2 linked regions of the Caenorhabditis elegans genome follow. The protein of the gene in region 1 purifies or fractionates together with the protein of each later gene. This does not show direct contact. Each region holds a gene or a part of one and is shown in the gene's direction. Other genes may lie near its edges. The genes, in order: T28H10.2 and cnp-2.

Region 1 (11,567 bases):
ATACAGTACTTTTTGAAAAGATGAACAGCAATGTGATGGCAACGGAGATCAAGAACTGGACGAGTTTGTGTTAGTACTCGGCTGATCAGACTGAAAAAATATAATATTCTGAGAACCCAGCATGAAATGAATACATGATATCATCATATGAACGCATAAGTTCAAAAATTGAAGTAGTTTTTACTTGTGAATTACCATTTTTTCCAGTTTATCAAGGATTTTTTCTCAATTTTTAGAGCCCATCAGAACCCAAGAACATCCCCATGTCAGCTCGATTTTTCTTCAACTTACTCTTCAGACTCTCCATCAAAGAACTTCTGAACAATCATATGTACATTTCTCTTGATTGCTCTTCGTGTCTCCTTGATTCTATTGATTTTGTACTCTAACTTGTTCGACGATAACAAATCATTCGACTTTCTGTGTTGCGAAATCAAGTGATTGAGCTCAATATCTCTTGCTGGCCAGTTGACAGATTTTGAAGCAGACAATCCCTGAAACAAAATGACCTTTTCATGACAAAATATCAATTTTCACATAGATACTTACAAAATCTTCGACATACTCTCTATCTTCCTTATCTCCTTGGAACAAGGCTACTGCCTCTTTCGCAATATCCTTATCACCAAACTGCATCACATGGGAAAGGTTTGTCTCTTTTTTAACTAGCTCGTATTGGAATTCAAGAGTTTCTGTCTTCAAATCTTCTCCGTCACTATCAGTCATCCAGTTAACACTAAAAAGATCTCCAAGGCACGGAAGATTCATGTCGTTCTCACAGAATGTTCCCCATGAACTTTCATGGCTATTTGCAGCAGAAATTGCATAAACTATAATTCGATAATACTATAATATTGGAGAATTCTCTGAAACTTACTATCCATATCCGATCGGAGTACCTCTTCAAACATGCTTCCAGATTCACAGGCTTCAAGATAAAAAGTCAACTGTGAGTACTTCTTATTCTTGTGCATCCAAACAAGAACATCATTCAGTTGCTTTACAGTCAAAATGCCATCTGGGAATGAAATCATTCCAACCGCACCGTGATCAGTGAAGTAAACAAAAACGCGATCATTGTCGTTTCTGAAAATAAAAAACAAGTTGACACAATTGCTAGAAACCTCACGTTTCAAGAACTCTTCCGTTTCCACCATCAATTCCGCTGGCATTTCCTTTAAGAACATTCAAAAAGTTTTCCGGTGTCACTGAAGCACCTTTGTAATCAATTTTCAGACCTTTGTAGAGGTCTTTTCCATGTGGACGATTAAACAGCTTCCCTTTGTATGGATTTCTAAGCAAAATCCAATTAATCAAAATCTCCATAGAGCACACTTACAATGGATTATTCGCCACATCATCATACATCATTGTAATAATATTTTCCTCTGGAATTCCATGATTTCTAAGTGTGTGATACGCATGTGCCACATCAGCTTGATGTCTGTAATTATACCATCCATTTGATCCAGCTACCAACACAACGAAAGCTTCTCCTTCATCTTGATACTTGTGTTTCCTTTGCCGTCCTGCTGCCAGACCTTTTCTAGGATTATATCGAGCTTCTGTCACCAAGAACAGAACAATAATGCAAATTAAAAGAGCAAGTGGTCTCATTATAAAATAGGAAAAAAGTAAAGTGAGCCGGTGAAAGGGGGACAATAAGACTGACTGGTCTGCTGGACAACACTGTGTTATCAGATTACCACTTATATAATTGATAAGGAAGACATAAGGTTGTGTTCAAATAGAACGAGGTATCGATGATGGTGAAAGGTGTCAGCTGATCAACAAACATGACACTTTGATTTTGAATTACTAGGAAAAAGAAACGATAATTGTGTGTGTGGAGTAGCTACGAGTTTTGAGTTAATGAAGGACTATAAGTATTATAATTTCAATGAAAAAATTATTATAATTTTGCATTGTTTTAAAATAAAAATTCAGTCCCGGGGAATGTCATTTTTAAAACAAATGTCTTCTAGATTTTTTGAGGTAGAAAGTTAATAAGAGCTTTGGTTTTCCAGAACAGTATAATAAGAGGGAAATTAAGAACAAAATTAAAATTTCGGAACAAAGTGTATACGGTAATAGTTTTTTTTGAGCTTTCCTATCGTTATTGAAATTCTTTGTTTGTGTATTCTTTGATTCCTAAATTCAAAAAAAAACGTTGTCTTAATTTTTTTTTTCAATTGTAATGCTTTCCGGAAATTAAGACAAAAGTAAAAAAAAAACAAGAAAAAACGGAAACCATACAGTTACTGTATATAGAGGGTTTTTCTGATATTTTGCTAAATTGGAGAGTGAATTTTAGAAATGCAAAAGAGGATCACTCTATCTCTCCCATAGCCCAATATCAAGTCTGTTCAGTTCAAAATAACCCAGACAGTTTTTATTCGGTTTTGGTTCATTGAATATTTTGTCTTCTCTCTACTTCTCCGTCTTTTACTAATGCCGATATTCGTCGATTTTCATTATCACACATGAAAAGGAAGGAAGAACACAGAAAATTAAAGAATACGATGATGGGTAATCAATTGATGCCAAAGGCACGTTGGTGGATGACCTTCTACGATTTTATTTCGTTTACTGTCTTTCTTCTTAATGATAAAAATAGAAAGAGGAAGTCTCGAATAGTTTGATAATCACACTTAACACTTTTGATTGATTTAATTTGCAGAGCGATTGGTTGTATACATATATTCTCTGATGAGGTTTTTGTTGGTTTCAGGAGTATTTCTGGCTTATGTCGCACCTAGTTGTGAGTTTTACCATCCAATTAAAGAATTTTTTAGCATTCTAAAAATTATTGATAGGTGTTTAATTTATCAGTTAAATAAGGATTCAGTTTCAAATTTGAAATTGCTCTCAAAGAAACTGCACAAAAGTTGACGAAAAAATTGTTTTAACTTAAAAAATTAATTTGTACGTATTTGAAAATATTTATTTTTAACTAAAAAAAAAGTGTTCAATTAATATAGCTTTTTCAGTGCAACAGTGTTTCGATAGCGACGGAGCATGTGCATCGTGGGTTGCTTCGGATCGAGGTTCATGTCAAAGAAAAGAGTACATCAAGAAAAACTGTCGAAAAAGTTGCGGAAATTGTCCTCGCTATGAGTTAAAATTCGATACTCGTCGCTTGAATCCACAACTTCAACCTATTCACCAATTGGTGGGACGATGGAAGGGTGAACATACCGGAAAAGTTACATTTCCAACAATTCCAACTTTCAAATACACAGAGGAAGTCGAAATTTCAATTCCTGAAGGAAGCAATATTCGATCACTCAATTACACGTGAGTTAAGATTTGACTACTGTTAAAATGTTTTGAAATTTTTTAAAGTTTTCAGAAATTAGGTCTGGGAAAAATTACTCAGCTAAATTATTTAGTTTTGATATTCTATAATTGGTTAAAAAGTGTTGAATTCAAACATGAAATCACTCTTTCACTCAAAAAATTCTGATAGAAAGTTAGACTTGTAGTAACTATTGTTAATAGGAAAAACCGGTTTGTAAATGAAATATAAAAATCTATCGTATTAATTTTATAATTTAGTTTGTAAGACTGCAATACTAATAGAGAGCACACAATAATTAACAATATTTTTGTTTGCTTCAGTGCCGCCGCTTGGTCTAGTGATAAAGAAGATCTTCACCGCGAATCGGGTTACATCATCATTAAACCAAACACTCGTGAAGTTATTTTGACAACAGTCATGTCCAATGGTTTCATTACTGTTGAGGAAGGTTCAATGGTTGGAAACAACATTAAATTTATGCTCAAAGATATCGGAAGAATCAGCTTTGTAAGAGATGAACATCTCCATAATGTAAGTTAACGGATAGTTTAAGCACGAAGGTCAAAATATTTTTTGCAGCTAATTCGCGAATGGACCCTGGATAATGGTTACCTTCGAGCCCGTCTCAGTATTCAAACGTTATCTCATAGAATGCAGGAACACACTTCAATATTATACACAAAAACTTCAGTATAAATAAAAATAGAAAACGATTGTTTTAAAACTTTTCAAAAAGTGCAAAATAAAAAGAATGCTTTGTAATTGTTTTAACCAAGAAGAGAATCAAAAATATGAATTATCAAAAAAACTTCTACCTTGTAGCGTATAGTGCATAGCGTATAGCGTATAGCGTATAGCGTATAGCGTATAGTGCATAGCGTATAGTGCATAGCGCATAGCGCATAGCGCATAGCGTATAGCGTATAGCGTATAGTGCATAGCGTATAGCGCATAGCGCATAGTGCATAGCGCATACCTAGACTACCTAGACTACCTAGACTACCTAGACTACCTAGACTACCTAGACTACCTAGACTACCTAGACTACCTAGACTACTACCTAGACTACCTAGACTACCTAGACTACCCAGACTACCTAGACTACCTAGACTACCTAGACTACTACCTAGACTACCTAGACTACCCAGACTACCTAGACTACCTAGACTACCTAGACTACCTAGACTACCTAGAGTACCTAGACTACCTAGACTACCTAGACTACCCAGACTACCTAGACTACCTAGACTACCTAGACTACCTAGACTACCTAGACTACCTAGGCTACCTTACCTAGACTACCTAGACTACCTAGACTACCTAGACTACCTAGACTACCTAGACTACCTAGACTACCTAGACTACCTAGACTACCTAGACTACCTAGACTACCTAGACTTTCTAGACTACCTAGACTACCTAGACTAGCCTCTATTAACAATACTCTTAAAATCCTTGTTTTATTAGATCAGAGATACAGAAAATCAATCATAGACTCCGCCCTTACCTTGTATTTTTTGCGATTTTTCATTGATTATTTTACTTCTCAAAACTTTATGTAATTTTCTTCAATAGATCGAATGGCAGTGTTAGTTTTATCAAGAAATATGGGTGCCCTTATAGGTTCAAATGAAATTGTTATATTTGGAAATAATTTTCAACTTCAACTCCGTTTTCCCATCCATCAAAATTGAATATCATCTTTTCCAACCCATAACTCTAGATGCTAAAAATGTCAGCAGGCCCAAAAATAAAGCTCATCGTTTTGCACGTCTCCACTCCAACTTTTACAGCGACTCATGGGGGCTTCCGCTTAAAAAAAGAGTTGAGCTATCAATTCAACTCATCATTTATTCGTGTTTCTCCCTTTGCTTTGTGGTCCATGATGTCATGATTAAAGAGATCTGGAAAAAAAGTTGGAAAGAGAAAAAAAGAAAATTTAATGAAAAATTAGTTTGACCGTAAACATCTCGTTCAGATTCGGAGACGAGTCATTTAGATCAAACTGCAAAAAGAAAAAATGGAAAGAGGAAGAAAATATTCAAGTGAATTCATAAAAAGATAGAGAAAAAGTAAACATGAAATCAGAAACCTCCGTGACAAATTCAAAAATAAGATCGAAGGTGTCTTGGTTTTTGAAAGCTTTTCTAGATTCTAATAACAAACTATCGATTTCAATTTGATCTTAATTTACCAGTAGACTCCAATTAACATCTGACAGCTATGATTATGCTATATTATGACAAAGATTTAACCTGCGACACTCAACTGCGAACCCTCTGAAATTTCAATCAGGAACTTGTCAGTGCATCATTTTACTGATTTTGAGGCCTGTAGAAATACTCAAAAACTCTTTTTTTTGCAGAATTGTGCTAGTTTTAAGAGTGTTCAGGAAAGTTGAATGCAAATTTTTCAATTTTTGTCAAAGAAATATAAGTTTTCAATCAGTTTCCAGAATGTTCGTTTATATATATGTTTCGTTTATTTATATAAAACGCTAGCTTTCCTAATCGGTTTCTGTATTTTTTATAAATTTGGAAAAATTCCCATTAATTATTTTTTGTTCCCAGTTTTTTGAATGGCTCTCGTGGCCAGAAATTATCTGATCTCAAATTGGTAAGTATCCAGATAAAATACTTCTTCAATTTCACAAGATGATCGGATGCAGTTGGCCTACCCACTATGTGAGCGCAATTTCTGTAAAGCATCGTGCCATAAATCACCAAATATTTCCATCATAACTTTAAAATATTTCAAAAATGTACGTAAAAACGTTCCATTTGTGATCACCAAAATAGAAGCCCGATTTAATTTCTTTTTCAATATTCTAACAAGTCACCAATCATCGGAACAAAGTAATAGATGTCAATGACGCGTGGGTTCTATATAAAAACAACCAATTTCAATGATCTGATCAAATAAGTCAAAATTATTTTTATGATTTCTGTTTTAGTGAAATTTGTATTTAAAAATAAACGAAGTAATTGACAATGATTTCTGTCAGCTAAATTATAAAAGCTGAGGAAAAATCGATCATTTCATATTTTTCATAGTTTCTCTGAATTATTAAGTAGAGATAATTTTTTTTACAAAGTTTCCATTTCTACAGCATATTATTATAATTTTAAATCAAGAACTACAGTAAGCCGTTTTTAAAACTGTCTGAACTTGATTTTGAACTCAAATTTTCATAGTAAAAATGAGTTCACTCGTTTCTCCGATCTTCTGCAAAGTTGTTGAACTTATTTTTGAAAAATAAACAATTATAAAAATAGACAATAAAATAGTGTAGCAGAGCACGTCACCAGCAGACGTTTCAATGTTCTCCGTGAAACTTTCAAATTTGTCAGATAACCACCACATATTCAAATGACGTACTTTCTTCTTGTCTGTCAGACTAATGTGACTCACTTGTTTATTCGTGTGTTTAGCCACATGCACGAGTTCCTGAAGCCTAATCAAAAATTATGAATTATTGATGTTGGAATGTATTGGCGAATAGGTGATTATGGCCTGTCTGATGTGTTGATTTGGTTTAAGAACGGCGAGCTGAATTAATTTTGTTATGAGCTGGTTTGAGTTGTCTGCTCACTGAAGATAGCAACTTTGTAAATAATTTCTTCATTTTTAAGCAAGGATGCATTTCTAGTTCAACTTAGTGAAGTTAACATACTTATTTAAACTAGTTATCCGTACTGTTTTCTTTAAAACCCGTTCAGATATTCAAAAAAAACCTGAAGCAGAAGGAGACTTCTTGAAGATCAATTTATGTTCTTTTGAAATTTTACAAATAAAAAATAATTTAAACAACTTAACAAACTTGTTTCTCAACTTTGTAACTCATAATATTCTTGCCCAAGTCTAACAAAAAAGAGTGTTCAAACACGGGTTGTCTTCTCAGAAGTTTGTCTAATTTCAAAACAAGCTACAGCACAAGCTCGGTAGAACAATAATATAAATGATTACAAATCACCATTTATTACCCTTGGTGCCCCCAATTCTTATTCTGGTTTTGCCGGAGGCCTACCAACTTTTCAATCATTGGTTTTGATAAAAATTGGGCAAGCCGTGGACGAATGGATAAAACATTTCTTCAATTTTCTAAATTTATATTCCGGAAAAGAAAATGGCAAATGTTTCCACACGTTCCCTAAATATTCTATTGTGAGATCAGAATGTTCTCGTACTCTTTTTCTAATATATTTTAATAAGCATTCAAAATTATGCATGATGGAAGTTTTAGTGGACATTTTGAAGAAGTGCGAATTTTTTAATGTGCCGGTTTTTTGCTATATAATACTTTTTGAAATTTGTACCTGAAAACGCACAAATTTACTTGAATGGATCCACCGTAAAAATCTTAAGGAAGAACTTAATGGTATTGTATGTGCTCGATATACCCTGTGGTCGGGAAATTATAAATTTTAATTTGATTTTTTTTTCAAAAAGGGGTTCAGCATCTTTATTATTTTCAAAATAAAAAATTAACGGAAAGTTAAAAAATGCAACCATTAGTTTTTTACGGCTTCACTCAAACTTACAAAATACCAGAACTGAGTATTATTTCCCCAATCTCTAGAAAAACTGTTGTTTTTTTCTAGAAAAACTTTATTAAATAGTATCCACGTACATACTTGTAACGGTAGCTAGTGGGCTTTTTTTTATTAGAATGTACATAAATGACTAGTTTTTTAACGTCGTTGTGTTCAATAGACACATATACATGTAAACATTCACTTCAAATGTATGCAATTTAATTCTAATTTGCAATAATTTTTATGACATCATCTCAATAATTTTGATATGTCTCATGGCATTCTTATGTCTCCCACTCTTAAAAACTATCATCAGTTCATTTTTCTAGTCCATTCAATTCATCACTCAACCCTCTCAAGTCAGCAGGAGAAAAAATGTCATTTTCACTCTATTTATACACCAACAACTTTTCCCCCATATTTTTATTGGATTCGGAATACTCCGCTCTCTGACTGAAAAAGGGCGTGGCCATGAATCCCAAATATTCTTCATATTCAATTGCCGACTGGACCCAACTCATTTACACATTTTATATGATGTTTCCCATGTTTTTTATCTTTTTGCTTCGCATAACTAGACTAGATATACAAGATTAATAATGCTGCACTTGTAGGGCGAAAAATGTTGTCAATTCGTACATTTGTTCTGGTACTGTTGGTTCTCGTTGGGCTCGCCGCGGCTCTGCCGTATTTCCGATTGAACTACGATTACGATCCGGTTGATTTGGATAATGATGTGAGTTTTGAAAAGTTTTGAAGAAACCTACTATTACCGTAACCTTGGGTCAAGACTGCGGTATGATTTTAGCCCCAAATTACCAATTTTCATCCAACTAGCTATTGATTTCAATTAACGTTAATCTCTCTGTTTAAATTCTTTAAAAAATAATAACTGGCAGACCAATCAGTGATTTACTCTGCCAACCAATTAGACAGAGTGTGCAGAATACGAGGACGCTGATTGGTTCGAAAGTGGGTGTGGCTTCTTCTTTTAGAGGGAATTCAGACAACATAATTATTTACAGTACTTTTTAATATTAGACTAGTTCTGGTTTGGGCATTTAAATGCCAAATTCACATTCATACTACCTGAAGATCCGTCAATGAAAGATAAGGAAGGTATCTCGGTATTTGGTAACAAGTTAAGCCCAAAAAATTTAAGATGTGTTCCTAGATTCAGAAAAGGTCGAGTTGGCCTATAACTGATTTTGTTAATAATGATAACTTGCTGGAAATCATGTAGAGATTCGATTCACGACAATCGAAATAATCTAATCTTCAAAAAAAGATTTCTATCAGAGTAATAAATCTTCCTGAAAACTTGAAAAATAATATTTACCCTTACTAAAATTGCGTGACCTCAATGGTGGTTTAAACCAATAAGTTACTCTAGGTTAAGAACTTTTTGTTTTTGTAAATACCTCCTCACCAGAAACTATAAATTTTACTATCTTCTACATTTATTCTTGAGATACAAAAAGCTTCCTCGTTTAGGCTAGTTTCAAAATGAATTCTTATTTCAGGAGAAAAACGCAGCTCGTCAATTTCTTCCGTACATGAAACGAAACATCGCAATCGGGCGTGGTGATGGTCTTCGACCCGGAAAATAAAATACAAAAATTGCACATTCTTCTTTTGATATTATGTTTTTATCACATTTTCTACTAAAATCTCAATTAGAAATTGCTCTTGCTCATTTCATTTAACAACTTGATTCCGTTTCCTGGTGTGCTGTCTTCATCTGTTTGTTTTTCTTTTTTTTTGACGATCTCAAAATGGTTTATTTGATTTTCCCATAAATACATCAAGTTCTTCATCTACATCAGCTGTAATATTTATAAAATCTGCGTCTTGGAGAATTTCTTCGAGAGACATCATTTGAAATGGTATAGCACAGGAAGTAGTAGACGGAGATACTTCTGAAGCAACAGCGACACAATGATTCTCTCCAATAAATGACTCTTCAAAAATCCATTGTGGTTGTGGAATCAAACGATGATAATATTGGGTTGAAACTGTTGAGTGACCTGAAAAGGATACATAAAACGATAGATTCTTTCGAAAAGTTAACCTGACGCGTGATCATAACTGGAATCTACTTGGAAAGTATGATTGTGCAGTCCATCTGGAAGTCCAACTCCCGTAGCTTTTAGAATTGATTCTTTCAGACACCAAATTCTGTAGAATGCGTGCCATCTAGAAATTAGGATGATTTATTAAATTTTACTGATGATTTCAATATTGTCAGTTTTCAATTTTCTGAAATTCGTATTTAAAGGCGCACGAATTTATCCGGATGGGTCTCGCCACTGATATGTTCGGTGCCCGCTTTGACGTTATTCAGGATATTGTTATAACGTCATTATGAATTTTGTTGAGTTTTTTGTCGTGAAAATCGGAAAAGCTCTGCCATAAACTGAGATCCATCTGATTGAATCCGTGAACTTTTATATACACAATACAGAAAATTAAGAATTGTAGTTTGAAACGATACCTTTTAAGTTCACATTTATCTCCCCCTTTAACCATTTCTATTTCATTTTCACTGAAATGTCGCTTCAACGTATTCATTTGTTCACTAGCAGTCTCACGCCGAGCTTCATTAACTCTCATCACATCGACACCTTAAATAATTTTGCCTTTATAAGATCAAAATTCAAAACATTAGTACAAACCTATTCTAGTATCTCCGGTAGCTAATACAACTAGATCACCATGATGCGATACGTTGTATTCGAAGTTTTGACGAGAATAGTCTGATTTATTTTGAATAAGAGATGGTTTTCCATTTTCATTCCGACTAAACTCTAGATCTGACCACTGACGAGATATTGATATAGTGGCAGCTTTTCTGAATGTCTTCCAATTATTCAAACTCGAATAACATTTTGTTAGAACCTTGGAATTAATCTTCCTATCAGACATGCCAATGCATCTTCTTTATATCGAAACCGTCTCTGCTGCTCCACATCACTTTCCGATGCACACAAAATAGCCCGTCTAAACATATTTTGGAATGTAGATGAAGTTATCGTTTCTTCCAGCGATATTGCCCATCTTAAGCTCATTGCGCTGGAATTTATGATGAAAATTGAGACGGATGAGCTAAATTAGAAATCATCAAGAGGTAGATGCCACATTTCATAAAAATATCAGTTTGAAGTATAGCACAGAAAACTATATTTAATTTAATATTATAATAGCGATTATTAAGTCAGCTGCTCACTGGAATGAATTCCAGAGAGGGAGAGAGAAATAGACAGTAAAACGAGTCTTTGAAGTAAAGAACAACTCAATACAGAGGCGGGGATGAGTGGTAAAAAGATTGCATAATGTATTTCCAATATTGAAAGTAGTTATGTAATTCCGAGACGACGGGCTTGTCCCTCATAAATTAAAAGTCGCCACATTTTGATCACAAATTGCTCAGCATCCTCGTCAATGATCTGAATTCCATATATTAGATTTTTACTTAATAATTGATCATCTCACGACGGCGACGTCTTTGAGTATTTCTTGGGGTGTCGCTTGTTTCTCAATTTGATCACAGATGAAATCACAGAACGATTTGTCTTCTTCGCCAAGGAATTGAGTGACTTTTTTAGCCACCCACGGACGAATTCGATCATTCATCCATTTCCCATCTAGCTGATCCCATTCGATTCTATGAACAAAAAGTTCATCTGAAAAAAATCAAGTTTTAAATGTTTTTTTTTTCAATAAACATATCT
Region 2 (14,516 bases), on another chromosome or scaffold:
CACTTAGAAAAAAGTTACACACAAAAAACCAAAAGTGGATATCTTTTTGGCCAGCACTGTATATCATGTTTCAGAAAAAGTTTGGGTTTTGTATTCCCGTAATCCATCATATTACATTGCCCACTTTCACTGCTACTTGCCGACTGAATTCACAATTTTTTCACATGGAAATTGTTTTAGCATCTGCAAGAAATATTTATTAACTTGTTTTGATAAGAAAAAACGGAAAAAATCGGTGAAAAATGAAAGAAAACACGCAGAAAACAAAGCAAGATAAATGGCCGCTGAAATTTGTCGGGGACTCGGCCATGGCCTAGAAACCTTTTTGCCTCGTCCCTCGTTCGAAAAAACTTTCAGTTTCAGTAATTTCCCCACATTCACCACACCACAACGAGCACCTTCTTTAAACTATTCCAAAAACAAATACAAGCTTTATTGGAGTACAAAGTAGATTATTTTATAAATTATCAGCAATCAAAATTATATTGTTTCAAGGTGGAACGGAGAGACGGAAGCTATCCGGAAGAATTGTTAATTCAGAAACCGTTCCTTTGTTGCATGTGAGATATTCGTAATTCTCAAATCTATGAAACCGATCATCCTGAGATCTGTAAAACCGTGTTGTATGAGAAACAAAGAAAAACAAATGAAACTGACTGTTGTCTAGAGTTGGTCCCTTCAAGAATGATGGATTTATCAAGGTGCGATTCCATTTGTGCTAAGAAATATTCTAGATGACTGTTTTCCTTCCATTTCTTGAGGAGTAGGTTTAAATGAAGACTGTTGATGTTGATCCTACCTAGTGTCACAAACGAAGAACACATCATCAAATCAATCAAATCATCATCAATATCACTTAATTCTATAGCATGCGGTCTTTGCACACAAACTCTCAAATTATTCGCTTTGCTCTCAAGTAAGCCCCGAAAAAGTTGCTTTGATATGCCTTCTCCGGTAAATTTCAAGTGATTAACTTTTATTGTTTTCCTTGCAATAAGTTCAACTATACTCTGAATATCCCCCTCTAAGTAATAAAGAACTGTTATATCAAGGTTTTTGTTTATTTTTAGGTGCTCTAGAAAGTCCAAAATTGTTTCCAATACTCGATTAACATCTCTTCCCTTATATAAACTAATGTCCTCACAATCAGTTAAATTTCTACAGAAGATAACTTCACATTCGGATTCAAGGTAGTATTGCCGTGCAGTAATGCTTAAACTAAGCCAGCGTTCGTCCTCACTCTGGCGCTTTTTCGCGCGCTCTATAGATTGTTTCAAAACAAATTTAATTTTTCGAGATGTTGCGCGAAGTATGCATCTGAAAGCATTGATTTAGAATAAATAAGAAATATGGTATTAGCTTACATATCACTTATTTTCAAATGATCCAATACGTCAGAGAGAACAACAGTTGGAAGTTTGAGTAGATGGAAGGGTGCAGGAGACGACATCTAGAGTGCTATGAAAGAGAAAATGACGGAGATTGGGGCAACTGTACACAGTGAGACAGTGAGCGCGCACAGTTCGGGGGTGCCCTAGTAGAGACTACATCTTGAAAACGTGGTGCCTCACGAAGTGCTGCAACATGTTTTGAAAAGTACCGTAGTAAAACACCATTTTTAAAATGATTCTCAAGTGTATTTATTTTTAAAAAACCGTCACAACATGGGAATGCCTATGATTGTGGGGCGAAATATTTTCTAGCGACTTTTACCGTAGTATTGAATAAAAATAACAACAATTTAGAATTTAATTTCAAGTGCGCGCGCGACAATTTATATTTTTCATTTGCATGACGCGCCATATCGAGATCAAACGGGAGACGCGAAACGTGGAACCGCGTGGAGTCAGAGTGTCTTATTTTGATTTGATCTTCAAAAAATGCGGGAGTTGACACACAGACATCTCATGAGACAGTCTCCTCGACGCACGTGGTGTCAGGCTGTCCCATTACGGTTTTTTTTTGCAAATTTTATCTCGAAAATTAGTGTTCTATACTTTATTATATTCATTCTATACATCAGCTGGCAAGTGAGAGGTGACCTATCTCCTCACTCTCTCCATCCGGCTTATTTAACCAATAAATACATGTGTTTTTACATTATACTTAACAACAATAAACAGATACGGTGGTACCCTTATCTTCCGTTTATAACACCTTCTCTAAACTATTTCAAAAACGAATACAAGCATTATTAGGGTACAAAGTAGATTATTTCATAAATTATCTGCAATAAAAGTGATGTTTCAAGGTGGGACGGAAAGGAAGAAGAAACTCGGAAGAGTTGTAAATTGAGAAACCTTTCCTTTCTTGCATGTTGTGAGAAATTTGTAATGCTCAAATCTGTAAAACCAAGTTGTATGAGGAACAAACAAAAACAAATGAAACTGACTGTTGTCTAGAGTTGGTCCCTTCAAGAATGACAGATTTTTCAAGGTGCGATTCCATTTGTGCTGAGAAATATTCCAGACAGCTATTTTCCTTCCATTTCTTGAGGAGTGCGTTTAAATGTTCGACCGTCGGAAAGTGAAATTCCAATTTTATGCCTCATAATTTTAATACACAAGTTCATTACTTTAACGATAACCATTTTCCTATCAGTTATCATCAGAACGTTAGTTTTGTCAATATGAATTTAAATGTGTACAATGTATAAACATACATTAATATAAAACCGGCAAAAACTCGGTTGCCATTGTGAAAAACCACTAAGGAATAGTATAAACTTTCCGTTTCAGTTATTTCCCCACATTCACCACACCACAACGAGCACCTTCTTTAAACTATTTTAAAAACAAATACAAGCTTTATTGGAGTACAAAGTAGATTATTTTATAAATGATCAGCAATCAAAATTAAGTTGTGATAAAATCACCGAAAACGAAGAGGAAGAAGCAATTCTCAAAAATTGTTAAGTCAGATACCTTTCCATTGTTGCATGTTGTGAGAAATTCGTAATTCTCATATCTATAAAGCCGAGTATCCTCAGATCTGTAAAACCGCGTTGTATGAGAAACAAAGAAAGACAAATAAAACTGACCGTTGTCTAGAGTTTGTCCCTTCAAGAATGACAGATTTTTCAAGAGGCGATTCCATTTGTCCCGCAACAAAGTATTCCAGACTGCTGTTTTCCTTCCATTTCTTGACGAGTACGTTTAAGTGATCACTGTCCAAATTAATCCCACTCAATGTCACACTCGTACAATGTACCATCAAATCAATATCATGCAATTGAATATTATGTGCCGTCCTCCTCACTGTCAAACGAGTCGCTTTACTTTTAAACAAACCCCGAAACAATTTATTCGAAATGTTTTTTCCTTCAAACTTCAAGTTATTAACAGATATTTTTTTTCTTACAATAAATGCAACTAATCTCTTAATATCCCCCTCGTTGTAAAGATCGCTTATATCAATGTTTATGCATACTCTTAGGTTCTCTAGAAAGTCCGAAATTGTTTCCAATACTCGATTAACATCACTACCCTTATATAAATTAATGTGCGCTGTCAACTTCGAAAAGATTATTTCAAAGTAATCTTGGCATGCATAAATATTCAATTCAAAAAAGCGTCGATCCTCACTCTGGCGCTTATTCGCGTGTCCAATAGATTGTTTGACAGCACATGTAGTTTTTCGAGATGTTGCGCGAAGTATGAATCTAAAAAAATTGATTTAGAATAAATAAGAAATATGGTATTAGCTTACATATCACTTATTTTCAAATAATCCAATACGTCAGAGAGAACAACAGTTGGAAGTTTGAGTAGATGGAAGGGTGCAGGAGACGACATCTAGAGTGCTATGAAAGAGAAAATGACGGAGATTGGGGCAACTGTACACAGTGAGACAGTGAGCGCGCACAGTTCGGGGGTGCCCTAGTAGAGGACAATGACGTCACTGAACCTCCACACTCAACGAATCGATAATTGTTATGCAGCGTTGCTCGTCGTTTCTCCCTCACTATTGTCTCTTGCACCATCTGAGAAATGTGGTTCACTTCCGGTTCGCCCTTCCCTCTACTCAAACTTCCACTGGTTGCTATTTCTGAAGTTCTGGATCACATGGATACCGGGGATATGTGAGTTTAAATAATTATTATTTTCTTTTAGATTTAATGTAACAGATTCCAAAGTTTTTTTTTCGTTGAAAGTATATTTTTGAGCGTTTTGGAAAAAATTATGGTCGTTTTTTTTCGTCTACAGTAAAATTTTAGCATTTTTCAGGCTCTCTGAATGCTTTTTTTTGTGCTTTAATTTTCTGGCAGTTGCCGAATCCAAAAAATTTCGGCAACCGGCAACTTTTGGTTGCCGCACAGCCCAGGTGGCAAGTATTGTCTTACCATATTTGAAAGCTCACTTTAAGCTTGAAATTTGCACTTCCGGTAAACGCACAAAACTGGCTTATTTCAACATGATAATCCAAACTTTTTGATCTAAAATTAATATAGAAGTGTAGAAAATAAGTTGTTCTATCTGAAAATAAGATTTATTATTGTTAAAAAGCTTGAAAAAGTCATCAAAGAGTACTCGAAAGTTGCCGCTTGCAGAAAAAGTCCCGTTTAAAGTTTTTTTTCGGAAAACTTTCAGGCACTATTTGATGGCTTTTTCAAACTTTTCAACTAAAATAAATGTTATTTTCAGATAGAACAACCTATTTTATACATTTCTATATTAATTTTAGATCAAAAAATTTGGATCATCATGTTGAAATAAGCCAATTTTGTGCACTTGCCGAAAAAAAAAAGACTAATAGAGCATACTCACAATGAAATATTTCCAGATGTGCACTCCGAGTAACATCTCAAAAAACGAAGAACCTCGTCCAGCAGTCTGCAAGACGCTTCACAGACCGTCCCAAGCATTTGTGCCAGCTTGATATAATTGCACGTCGAGACCATTTTATTCTCGGCTCTCGAATTGGATTTGATCGTTGTACGGAATTATATAAAGGAAGAGATATTGATAGACTATTGGGAACAACCAGTGACCTCCTGGATAATCTACATGTTGAGCACGTTAATCTGGATATAAGACGTCGAGATGAAGAAGTGGAGATTCACAAAATTGTCACAATGCTCCTGAGAAAAAAGGCCAATGTGTTCAAAACTCAGAGATATGAACAGTTTTGTGAATTTTTGTATGCATTATTCGGTTTTTATATTTTCTCATCTCTTTTCCTCTCTATCTTCGTCCGTTTCTCATTTCTTTATCCCATTTTTTTGATTTTGTTAATTGTAATTTTTTCTATTGTTTACTTGTGGAAATATTAGAATTACTTGATATCTAACATTGAATGAATATTTTTAATAGTGAATTCGTAGTCAGATATGTTAGTTTTTTTTTTGCATTCTGAATGTATAAATTTATGATCTAACTAATAAGGGGTGGACGGCATCTTAATGGGCAAATTGCAATTGCCGGTCTGCCAATTTGCCAAAAATTTTAATTTCAGGCAATTTGCTGATTTGCCGGAAATTACAATTTCAGGCAATTTACCGATTTGCCAGAAATGTTCATTTCCGGCAATTTGTCGATTTGCCGGAAATTTTCATTTCAGGCAATTTACCGATTTGCCAGAAATGTTCATTTCCGGCAATTTGTCGATTTGCCAGAAATTTTCATTTCAGGCAACTTGCCAATTTGCTGGAAATTTTCATTTCAGACAATTTACCGATTTGGCAGAAATGTTCATTTCCGGCAATTCGCCGATTTGCCAGAAATTTTCATTTCAGGCAACTTGCCAATTTGGCGGAAATTTTGATTTTTGGTAAATTGCCGATTTGCAAATTTCCAAAAAAAAAGTGCAAAACCACAATTTGCCAAAAATTTTCGACCATTGCAGTTTTTCCGGCAAATCCGATACTTTGACAATTTGCCGGTTTGCCGGAAGTTTTTCTTTGCCTGCCTTTTTTAGCAGACGTTCACAAAATCAGAATTCAAAAAAAAAAACTGAATCATGCAATTAATCATGATGAAAAGTAACCAAAAACAACACAAAAAGCCGAAATCGAATCAAAAAGTGAATGCATCATTGTCCAAACATATAAAACATTCACTTTGAAGTATATTTTACGATTTTCCGTTTTCGGAACGTCACTTTTCTTGCCAATAGGCGGGGTTGCCAAGGTAGTCTCACATTTTTGCAATTTTCTTAAAGATGCTTTTTGGAAGACATTTTATTCAAAAAAAAAATAGAAGTTAAAGATGTTTTCTATGTATAGCTCTTTTCTTTTTTGGTTACTGTTTAGGCAATTTACCGGTTTGCCGTTTTGCCGGAAATTTTTATTATTGGCAAATTGCCGATTTGCCGGAAATTTTGATATTTGACAAATTGCCGATTTGACGGAAATTTTGATATTTGGCAAATTGCCGATTTGCCGAAAATTTTGATATTTTGCAAATTGCCGATTTGCCGGAAGTTTTGATTTTCGGCGAATTGCCGATTAGCTGATTTGCCGGTTATTTTGATTTTTTGGCAAATTTCCGGTTTGCCTAGTTGCCGGAAAATTTGGTTTTTGGCAATTTGCCGATTTGCCTATTTGCCGGAAATTTTGATTTTTGGCAATTTGCCGGTTTGCCTATTTGCCGGAACTTCTCATTTCCGTCGATTTGCCGGTCTGCCGGAAGTTTTCAATTCTCACAATATGCCAAAAATTTTCGGCAAATTCGGTAAACTGGCAATGTGCCGATTTGTCGTTTTGCCGGACATTTTCAATTCAGGCAATTTGCCGGTTCGCCGCTTTGCCGGATATTTCATTTTTCAGAATGCTTTTAGACCTGAATTTGGTAATCAATACACTGAAAAATTTTATTTTTTTTTGATTTTTTTTTAAATTTAGGTTACTGTAGCCTCATTTCTGTGTGAAAACCGACACATTCCCATAAATTCATGGAAAACCCAGTTTTCAGGGATAAGCAGTGCTTCTGAATCTAAATTTCACAGTCAAAGCTGTTACTCTTCGAGGCAAAAAATCTTAGTGTCGGCACTTCATTTGAAAAATCTCAAGTACCTGTCACTCTCACATGTTTGACCCATTTTTTCGCCTACAGGAAAAACCTTCAAAGTAGCCTTATCCCTCGTTTTCCCTCTATTTTCTAATAATTTTTTTTTGTCCGTTTACACATGTTCTGGCGGTGGGCTGTCGAAAAAACAAATAAAACAGTCATTGAAACTATCTTTTTTTTCTGTGTAAATAGTAGTTTTTTGGGATTAAACTCACTTTTTTTAAAAAGATTTCCTGTATTATTTTGTTGTAAAAATTCACACGGGGTTCTGGCCTACCTCATTGCATTTTTCGCGCTCCATTGACAATCGCCCGCCGGACAACGCATGGGAAAGTCATGTACTCCACACGGACAACTTCATTTAGTTTTACAACTAAAACCGAGCCGCGACGCGACACGCAACGCGCCGTAAATCTACCCCAGATATGGCCGAGCTAAAATGGCCTAGTTCGGCAAACTCTTCCATTTCAGTTTATGAGGGACGTCGGAAAAAAACTTGAAAAACTACTTTTTTTTGAAATTTTTTTCAAATTCAGAACTATTTATGTTGACTAAAAGCTCTATATATTCCATAACAAAAAAAAAATGCAATTTCCCAAAAAAAAATTCGAAAAAAAAAACATTTATGTTTACTAAAAATCTCAGCGCTCACAGGAGCCCCACATATTTTTTTTGGATTTTTTTTCAATTCAAAATGAAATTTTTGCACACATATATGCTGCACACGGTGACTACTAGTATACACATATACATATATAAAGAAGAACCAACAGATTTTCGGAATTAGCGGCACCCGGGGCGGAGAGGATGATCCTACTCTCGGCGGGCTCGCCGAGCCCACTGGATGTTTCTCTCTCTCTTTGAGCACTTTTGGAATGTATGCATGTTCGTTTGAAATTACTTTTTATGTAGTTTTATGTTATAAGTTTTATTAGAAAATGTATGAAAATTCATTGAAATTGGGTTTGTTTTTATTTTTAAAAAATTTGCAAACAAATGTTTTTTAAATTTTTTTTCTGGAATTTCTAAGATCTCTACGAATCTGTTTTCTAAAGATATTTTAACATCTAAATTATTTATTTATTTATTTTTCCACAATAGTTTTTAAAATAGATTTTCTATATTTAAAATCTTTTTTGAAATTTCGAAAAAAATTTCCAATAATTAATTTTTTTAAAAAATTTAGAAAAAAACCGATTTTCAGAAGTCTTCTCCTTTTTAAAAAAATATATATCATGTACTTTTTTCTCAATTTTTTTTTGGCATGTGAATATATATGAAATTCGAAACTTGATGCCCTCCTGTCTTCCACTATTTCCTCCCACTTTCTTGACATTTTCCCCCCAATTTTCTTCTTATGCGGTCTTTTTTATGCAAAAAATTTGTACGTTTATTTATTTATTTTTTTTTTTTTATTTTTTTTCAGGAGCTTATAGTTTTTTTGAAAAAGATGAACCGTGGATATGATAGTTATAACCGTGAGTTTTTTTAAAAATTAAAAATTTCAAAATTTCAAAATTTGACTTAAAACTAATTGTAAGTACTTTCAGGTTTCTCCAAAATTTGTCAAAAAACACTGTAAAATATGCTGAAAAAAATTTTAAAAAATCGAAATTGTTGAAAATAGTTTTTATATACAAATTGGACAAAAAATTCAAAACAGAAAAAAATTGGAAACGACTGAAATTTATTTTTTCAAAAGTACAGAAAATTCTATTAAACATTTTATTGTAAAAGGCTAAAAGTAAGATCTTTTTCGCAATTTAAAATTATATGCATATTTTTTAAAAATCTGAAACTTCGATTTTTTACAAAATTTTAGAAAAATATTCCCATATTTATTCCTAATACAGTCCAAATATTTTTTTATGCCCCTAATTTTCAGGATCCCGATCTACATCATCTAGACCCCTGGATCGAGAGCCCTACCATGCTGTATCAGAGCTGTACACCAAGGAAATAACCCATACTCCAATTGGTCCAGCTTCAGACCTTCCTCCAGAAATTTTGGATATTCTTAAAGAAAATCCCCGAGCAACACCACAGTATACACCTCCGTTGATTAGGCAGTAGGTTTTTTAAAAATGTTTCCAAAAATGTGAGAACTTTGACAGCTTATATCTCAATTCTCCTAATTTGTATAAAAAATTGACAACTGATAAAATGTTTATCAACTATTTTTCTATATTTTTGTAGTTTACCATTACTCATTATCTTCAAAAAGAACTGAGATACGAGCTGTCAAAGTTGAGAAACAAAGAAACGAAAATCGGGGCAAAAAAATTTCCGAATTCATAGAACATTTGGAATTTTACCAAAACTTTGACTCAAATTTTTGAAAAATCTGAAAATTTTTGGAGTGTTGGAATACTATTAAAATCCAAAATTTGAAACAAATTTCCAGCCGCGAAAACACATGGACCCCAGAAAACTACCCAATTGTTCGTGTCCCTTCTGCACAATTCACAGATGTTATGACTGAACTGTACGACTATCACGAAGTAGAGGTAAGATTTATAAACTACAAACTACAAACTATAAACTACAAACTATAAACTACAACTACAAACTACAAACTACAAACTATAAACTACAAACTACCAACTACAAACAGCAAACTACAAACTACAATCTACAAAACTCTACCACACGGTCAAATTTTTTAAAGCTTTTTTTTTGTTAGTAAAATAAAGGACAGTCATTAGATGGCTGAAAAAAATTGGGCAAAAATAAATATTTGCCTAAATTTATTGAAAACGGGTAATTCTTGCGGATATATGCTTAATTCAGAAAATCTAGGTTTATCTTATCAAAACTATTGAAAAGTGGCAAAATTGGGCAATTTTTGGCAAAAATTCACAATTTTGAAACTCCTCTAACATGGTTAATTTTGTAGTTAGAGGACTCAAAATTGATCTCAGAACCCTAAAAATTGTCCTTTTTCAGTTATCAGTAGTTTTGTTTAAATTCGTTTTTTAAAAAATTTTTTGCCCAAAAAAGGACAGTCAAACGAACAAAAAGGACAGGCTGAAAAAAATTGGGCAAAAATAAAATATTGCCTAATTGTGTTGAAAACGGGAAATTCATATATGCCGAATTCAGAAAATCTAGGTTTAACCCATCAAAAACTTTTAAAAAGTGGCAAAACTGAACAATTTATGGTAAAAAATCACAACTCTCAAAGTTTCGTTGCTGACTGTAGTGTAGATTAAACTATACAAACTACAAACTACAAACAACAAACTACAAACTACAAGTAAGACAGAAATATGTTATATTACAGAAATACACACACCGATCGGTCACCCCAGACTACGAGCCACTACGGAAAGAGCCGGAGCTCAAGGAGCAAAAATGTATGTTTATTCAGTTTTTTCCTCTTTAACTGCTAAATTTCAGTGCCAACCTACCAGGTGATCCCTCCGACACCCGAAAAGAACACGCCACGTCACCAGCACCATTCGGGTATCACACTGTCCCCATCAGATTCTTCAAGGACACTCGGAGCCCTGCCAAAGAAGCCTCCAATGTACGAAGAGTATTTGCAAATGCAGAAGAAGGACGAAAATCGGAATATTCCTAGACAAGTCTCCTCGGCGGATTCCCAAAGGACGATTCGGAATAACAACGAGCTCAGTCACTTGAGACACATCGATTCCTCGTCGTCTTCGGAAGCTTCCGAGCCAGCGAAGGATCTTGATGATCGTGAACGTTATGTGTACACACATGATGTCTACGTGGATTCAACTACGGGGCGCCCGTTCACACCGGGGAGAGAGGATGTTCGGGAGAAGAAGAATTGCGATAAGTTGAAGATTAATGTGAGTCCTAATTTTGAGGCACCACGGTTTCAAGATCTGGTGGGATTTCGGATCTATTATTTCCGGATCTACGATTTCCGGATCTATGATTTCCGGATCTACAATTTCCGGATCTATGATTTCCGGATCTACGATTTCCGGATCTACGATTTCCGGATCTATGATTTCCGAGTCTACGATTTCCGGATCTACGGTGGTAGATCCGGAAAACGTAGATCCGGAATCCCACCATATCTTGAAACCGTGGTGCCTCTTAATTTTTTAAAAATGGTTTTCAAAAAAGAACAAACTTCCAGGTCTACTTCAAGCCTCCACACCCTCCAGTAGAAATTACATACAAGTTGGACGAAATTGAAATTGAGAAGAACGAAAATATGTGAGTCACCTGTCCTTGTTGACTAAAAACTTCAAAAAAAAACCTCCAATTTCAGTGTAGTAACGAAGCTCCGCCCATCCCGCTCCGACACTATATTATCGCGTAGTGTTTCCACAAGTCCGTCGTCAGTCACTGATAATATTCCAAAAACTTCAACTTCAAGAATTCCCTCAAGCGAAAACCCGAAAACGATGGAGCACACCACAACCAGCCGCCGCTTCCCAACTCAAACCTCTATTCTCAGAAAAGAGCACGAAATTGTGCAAGTGCCACTTCATCGGAGCCAATCGCTCAGGCAATCTAGAATTTCGGAGCATAGTAAACGGTTTGTTTGGTTTCGGAAAATTTTAAACATTTTTGAGATAGAATAAGATTTTGGCATTGCCGAAATTACAGTAATCCATTAGTTTTTCGTTTTTCTACAGTACTCTTACAGTACAATAGAGCCACAGTAGTCATACAACATCCCTACAGTACCCCTACAGTAATTATATAGTAACCACATTGTGCCCCGTTATTATCAAGACAGTAATCCTACAGTATCACTACAGTACTCTAAAACCACAGTAATCCTCTAGCACTTCAACAGTACCCCTTACAGTATCCCTACAGTAATCCTACAGTACTCCTACCGTCCCCCTACCGTACCCCTAAAGTAATTATACAGTAACCCTAATGTACCCCTTTATTATCCCGACAGTAATCCATTAGTACCCCTACAGTACTCTAAAACCACAGTAATCATACATCACTCCTACAGTACCCCTAAAGTTATTGTACAGTAACCCTACCATACCCCTTTATTATTCCGACAGTAATCCTACGGTACCCCTACAGTGACCCTACAGTGTCACTACAGTACTCTAAAACCATAGTAGACACTCAGCACCTCTACAGTATCCTACAGTACCTTTACAGTTATTTTACAGTAACCCTACCATGCCCCTTTATTATTTCGACAGTAATCCTACAGTACCCCTACAGTGGCCCTACAGTATCACTATATTACTCTAAAACCACAGTGATCCTAAAGCATCCCCACAGTACTCCTACAGTACCCCTACAGTGACCCTACCATAACCCTTTATTATCCCGACAGTACCCCTAGAGTATCACTGCAGTACTCGAAAGCCACAGTAATCCTACAATATCACTACAGTAATCTGAAGCCACAGTTATCCTACAGTACCCCTTACAGTACCCCTACTTCATTAGTACCCCATACAGTACCCCTACAGTACCCCTACAGTACCCCTACAGTATCCCTACAGTTCCCTTACAGTACCCCTACAGTCTCACTACAGTACTATACAGCCACAGTAATCCTACAGTACCCATTACAGCACCACTTCCAAAATATATTCAGTTCCAGATCCCTCGGCAAAACCACCTCTACAGTGAGCACAGAGCGTCCAATTCCGATCCACGTAGTGGAGGAGACGTCATCAATCGATATGGATGTCGTTTTTCCAAAAATGCCACATCATCAAACCGTGACAAACGTCAGAGTTCCTTCGAGCAGAGGATCAGCAATATCCAGAGCTCACAGTGAGCATCGCAGGTCGATTGACAGGAGGTAAAAAGTGATATGTAGCACATTTTTAATCATAATTTTTTTTGCAGCGAACCACGTCACCACCATCGTCATCATGTTCATTCCGAGACCCCTGAACTTCCATATACTAGGTGACAAAATATCTGGGCACACATTTGTATAGAAAGACTTTTCAGAGGGATCTCCAAGACTCCGAGTGTTCGAGAATACAATGTGAAGCGGGAAGGTCAGAGATCGCCAAGCAGGTCTCATAGATCTGAAAGGTACGGTCGATCCGTTCTTAGCTTCGGTTTCTGCTTAGGCGTAGGCCTCGGTTTAGGCTTAGGCTTAGGATAAGGCTCAGGCTTAGTCTCAGGCTTAGTCTTAGGCTTTGGCATAGGCTTGGGCTTGGGCTTAGGATGAGGCTTAGGTTTTGGTTTTGGCTTAGGCTTAGGCTTAGGCTTCGGTTTAAGCTTAGATTTAGGCTCTGGCTCAGGCTTAACATAAACTTTCGATTAGTATACTTTTTGTTGATGCCATCCACCAAGTATTTACGGGGTTCCCTAGTTAGAGTTAGGCTCACGCTTAGGCACAGGCTTAGGATTAGGCCTAGGCGAGCTACTAGTTCATACAATTTCTCGGTTTTTTTTTGCAGAAGCCCATCAGAGGTCCGTATCCCGGTGACAACTACACATACTCGGTAGGCTTTGAGAAATTTCTAAAAATTAAAAAAAAAATTTTCAGCCCGATTGCAAAACGCCAAAGCCCGGAGGAGCTGGATTATGGAAGGTGATTGAAACTGCCGAGCTCAGTTGCTGATAAAATTATCGAAAATTCCAGATTCGCGGATAAAAGTCAGCAGAACCGATTTCCGGGGGATCATCAGGCTAGGGAGGAGGACTTACCGTATACCAGGTAATTTTTTTTTAACTCGGGGAGCTTTCGGCAAACCTCGATAATTTTTCAGGGGAATTTCCAAGACTCCTAGCAATCAGGATTCCAGGTCGGAGAGGTAGGGTAGATTTCCAAAAATTTAAAAAAAAAACCAAATTTTTCTAGAACTCCGTGCTCGGATATTCACATTCCTTACAATAACCCTGAAAAAGAGAGGTACAGTAGCAAAACCTACCGTAACCCTACAGTAATCCAAATTTCAGAGCCTATCAGCAATCCGAGCGGTCGTCTTATAGATCCCACAAATCGGTGACCCCATCAGAAAAGTCGTAAGTTTTTTTTTATACAGTAGTCCTATAGTAGTAAATCCAGGTTACCCCGCAATTCGGAGACCCCCGAGCTACATTACACCCGAGGAATCTCAAAAACGCCAAGCGACAGGGTGGAGAAGTCAAGGTACCTATCACGTGGTGTCAGTACCCCACATACCCCATCTGAAGTGCACATTCCATACAATAATCCAGAGAAAGAACGGTAAATTATACCTGAAAATTGAAGTTTTATCGATTTTTTTGCAGAGCCTACCAACAATCGCACCGCCCGTCTTCGCCAAAGAGACGCCCGTCTGGAAGGTGAGAAAATCGATATTTTTCGATGAATTAATCGATAATTTCAAAGAAAAATCGATATTTTCTAAAATTTTTCTGATTCCGGCCACGGGGTTCTGGCCTTCCTCATTGAATTTTTCGCGCTCTATTGACAATCATTTAGTTTTAAAACTAAAATCGAGCCGCGACGCAACACGCAACGCGCCGTAAATCTACCCCAGATATGCCCCAGCCAAATTGGCCTAGTTCGGAAAACTCTTCCATTTCAATTTATGA

What was found.
Region 2: the proteins of T28H10.2 (region 1) and cnp-2 fractionate together in Caenorhabditis elegans (co-fractionation; one large-scale study listed by BioGRID). This does not show direct contact.

The regions. Positions count from the first base shown.
Region 1 is NC_003283.11:12,503,142-12,514,708, reverse strand, and holds T28H10.2 (ShKT domain-containing protein), read left to right. Parts: upstream 1-1,759; 5' UTR 1,760-2,709; coding exon 2,710-2,761; intron 2,762-2,990; coding exon 2,991-3,297; intron 3,298-3,621; coding exon 3,622-3,832; intron 3,833-3,880; coding exon 3,881-3,997; 3' UTR 3,998-4,064; downstream 4,065-11,567. Other genes in the region: lgmn-1 (legumain), read right to left, coding at 1-90, 292-494, 550-830, 878-1,086, 1,130-1,294, 1,340-1,617; nlp-46 (Neuropeptide-Like Protein), read left to right, coding at 8,459-8,572, 9,360-9,446; T28H10.1 (L-aminoadipate-semialdehyde dehydrogenase-phosphopantetheinyl transferase), read right to left, coding at 9,607-9,863, 9,908-10,032, 10,331-10,460, 10,512-10,687, 10,735-10,904; rbm-25 (RRM domain-containing protein), read right to left, coding at 11,193-11,282, 11,329-11,519.
Region 2 is NC_003280.10:12,752,364-12,766,879, forward strand, and holds the start of cnp-2 (Calcineurin-interacting protein 2), read left to right. Parts: upstream 1-8,433; 5' UTR 8,434-8,457; coding exon 8,458-8,485; intron 8,486-8,892; coding exon 8,893-9,076; intron 9,077-9,411; coding exon 9,412-9,514; intron 9,515-10,290; coding exon 10,291-10,363; intron 10,364-10,406; coding exon 10,407-10,828; intron 10,829-11,124; coding exon 11,125-11,204; intron 11,205-11,259; coding exon 11,260-11,529; intron 11,530-12,576; coding exon 12,577-12,780; intron 12,781-12,827; coding exon 12,828-12,890; intron 12,891-12,935; coding exon 12,936-13,022; intron 13,023-13,393; coding exon 13,394-13,438; intron 13,439-13,482; coding exon 13,483-13,527; intron 13,528-13,578; coding exon 13,579-13,653; intron 13,654-13,705; coding exon 13,706-13,750; intron 13,751-13,797; coding exon 13,798-13,848; intron 13,849-13,895; coding exon 13,896-13,961; intron 13,962-14,004; coding exon 14,005-14,166; intron 14,167-14,210; coding exon 14,211-14,264; intron 14,265-14,516. Other genes in the region: Y46G5A.39 (F-box domain-containing protein), read right to left, coding at 491-608, 658-1,317, 1,365-1,450; Y46G5A.7 (F-box domain-containing protein), read right to left, coding at 2,856-2,991, 3,041-3,661, 3,709-3,794; Y46G5A.8 (F-box domain-containing protein), read left to right, coding at 3,990-4,081, 4,783-5,272.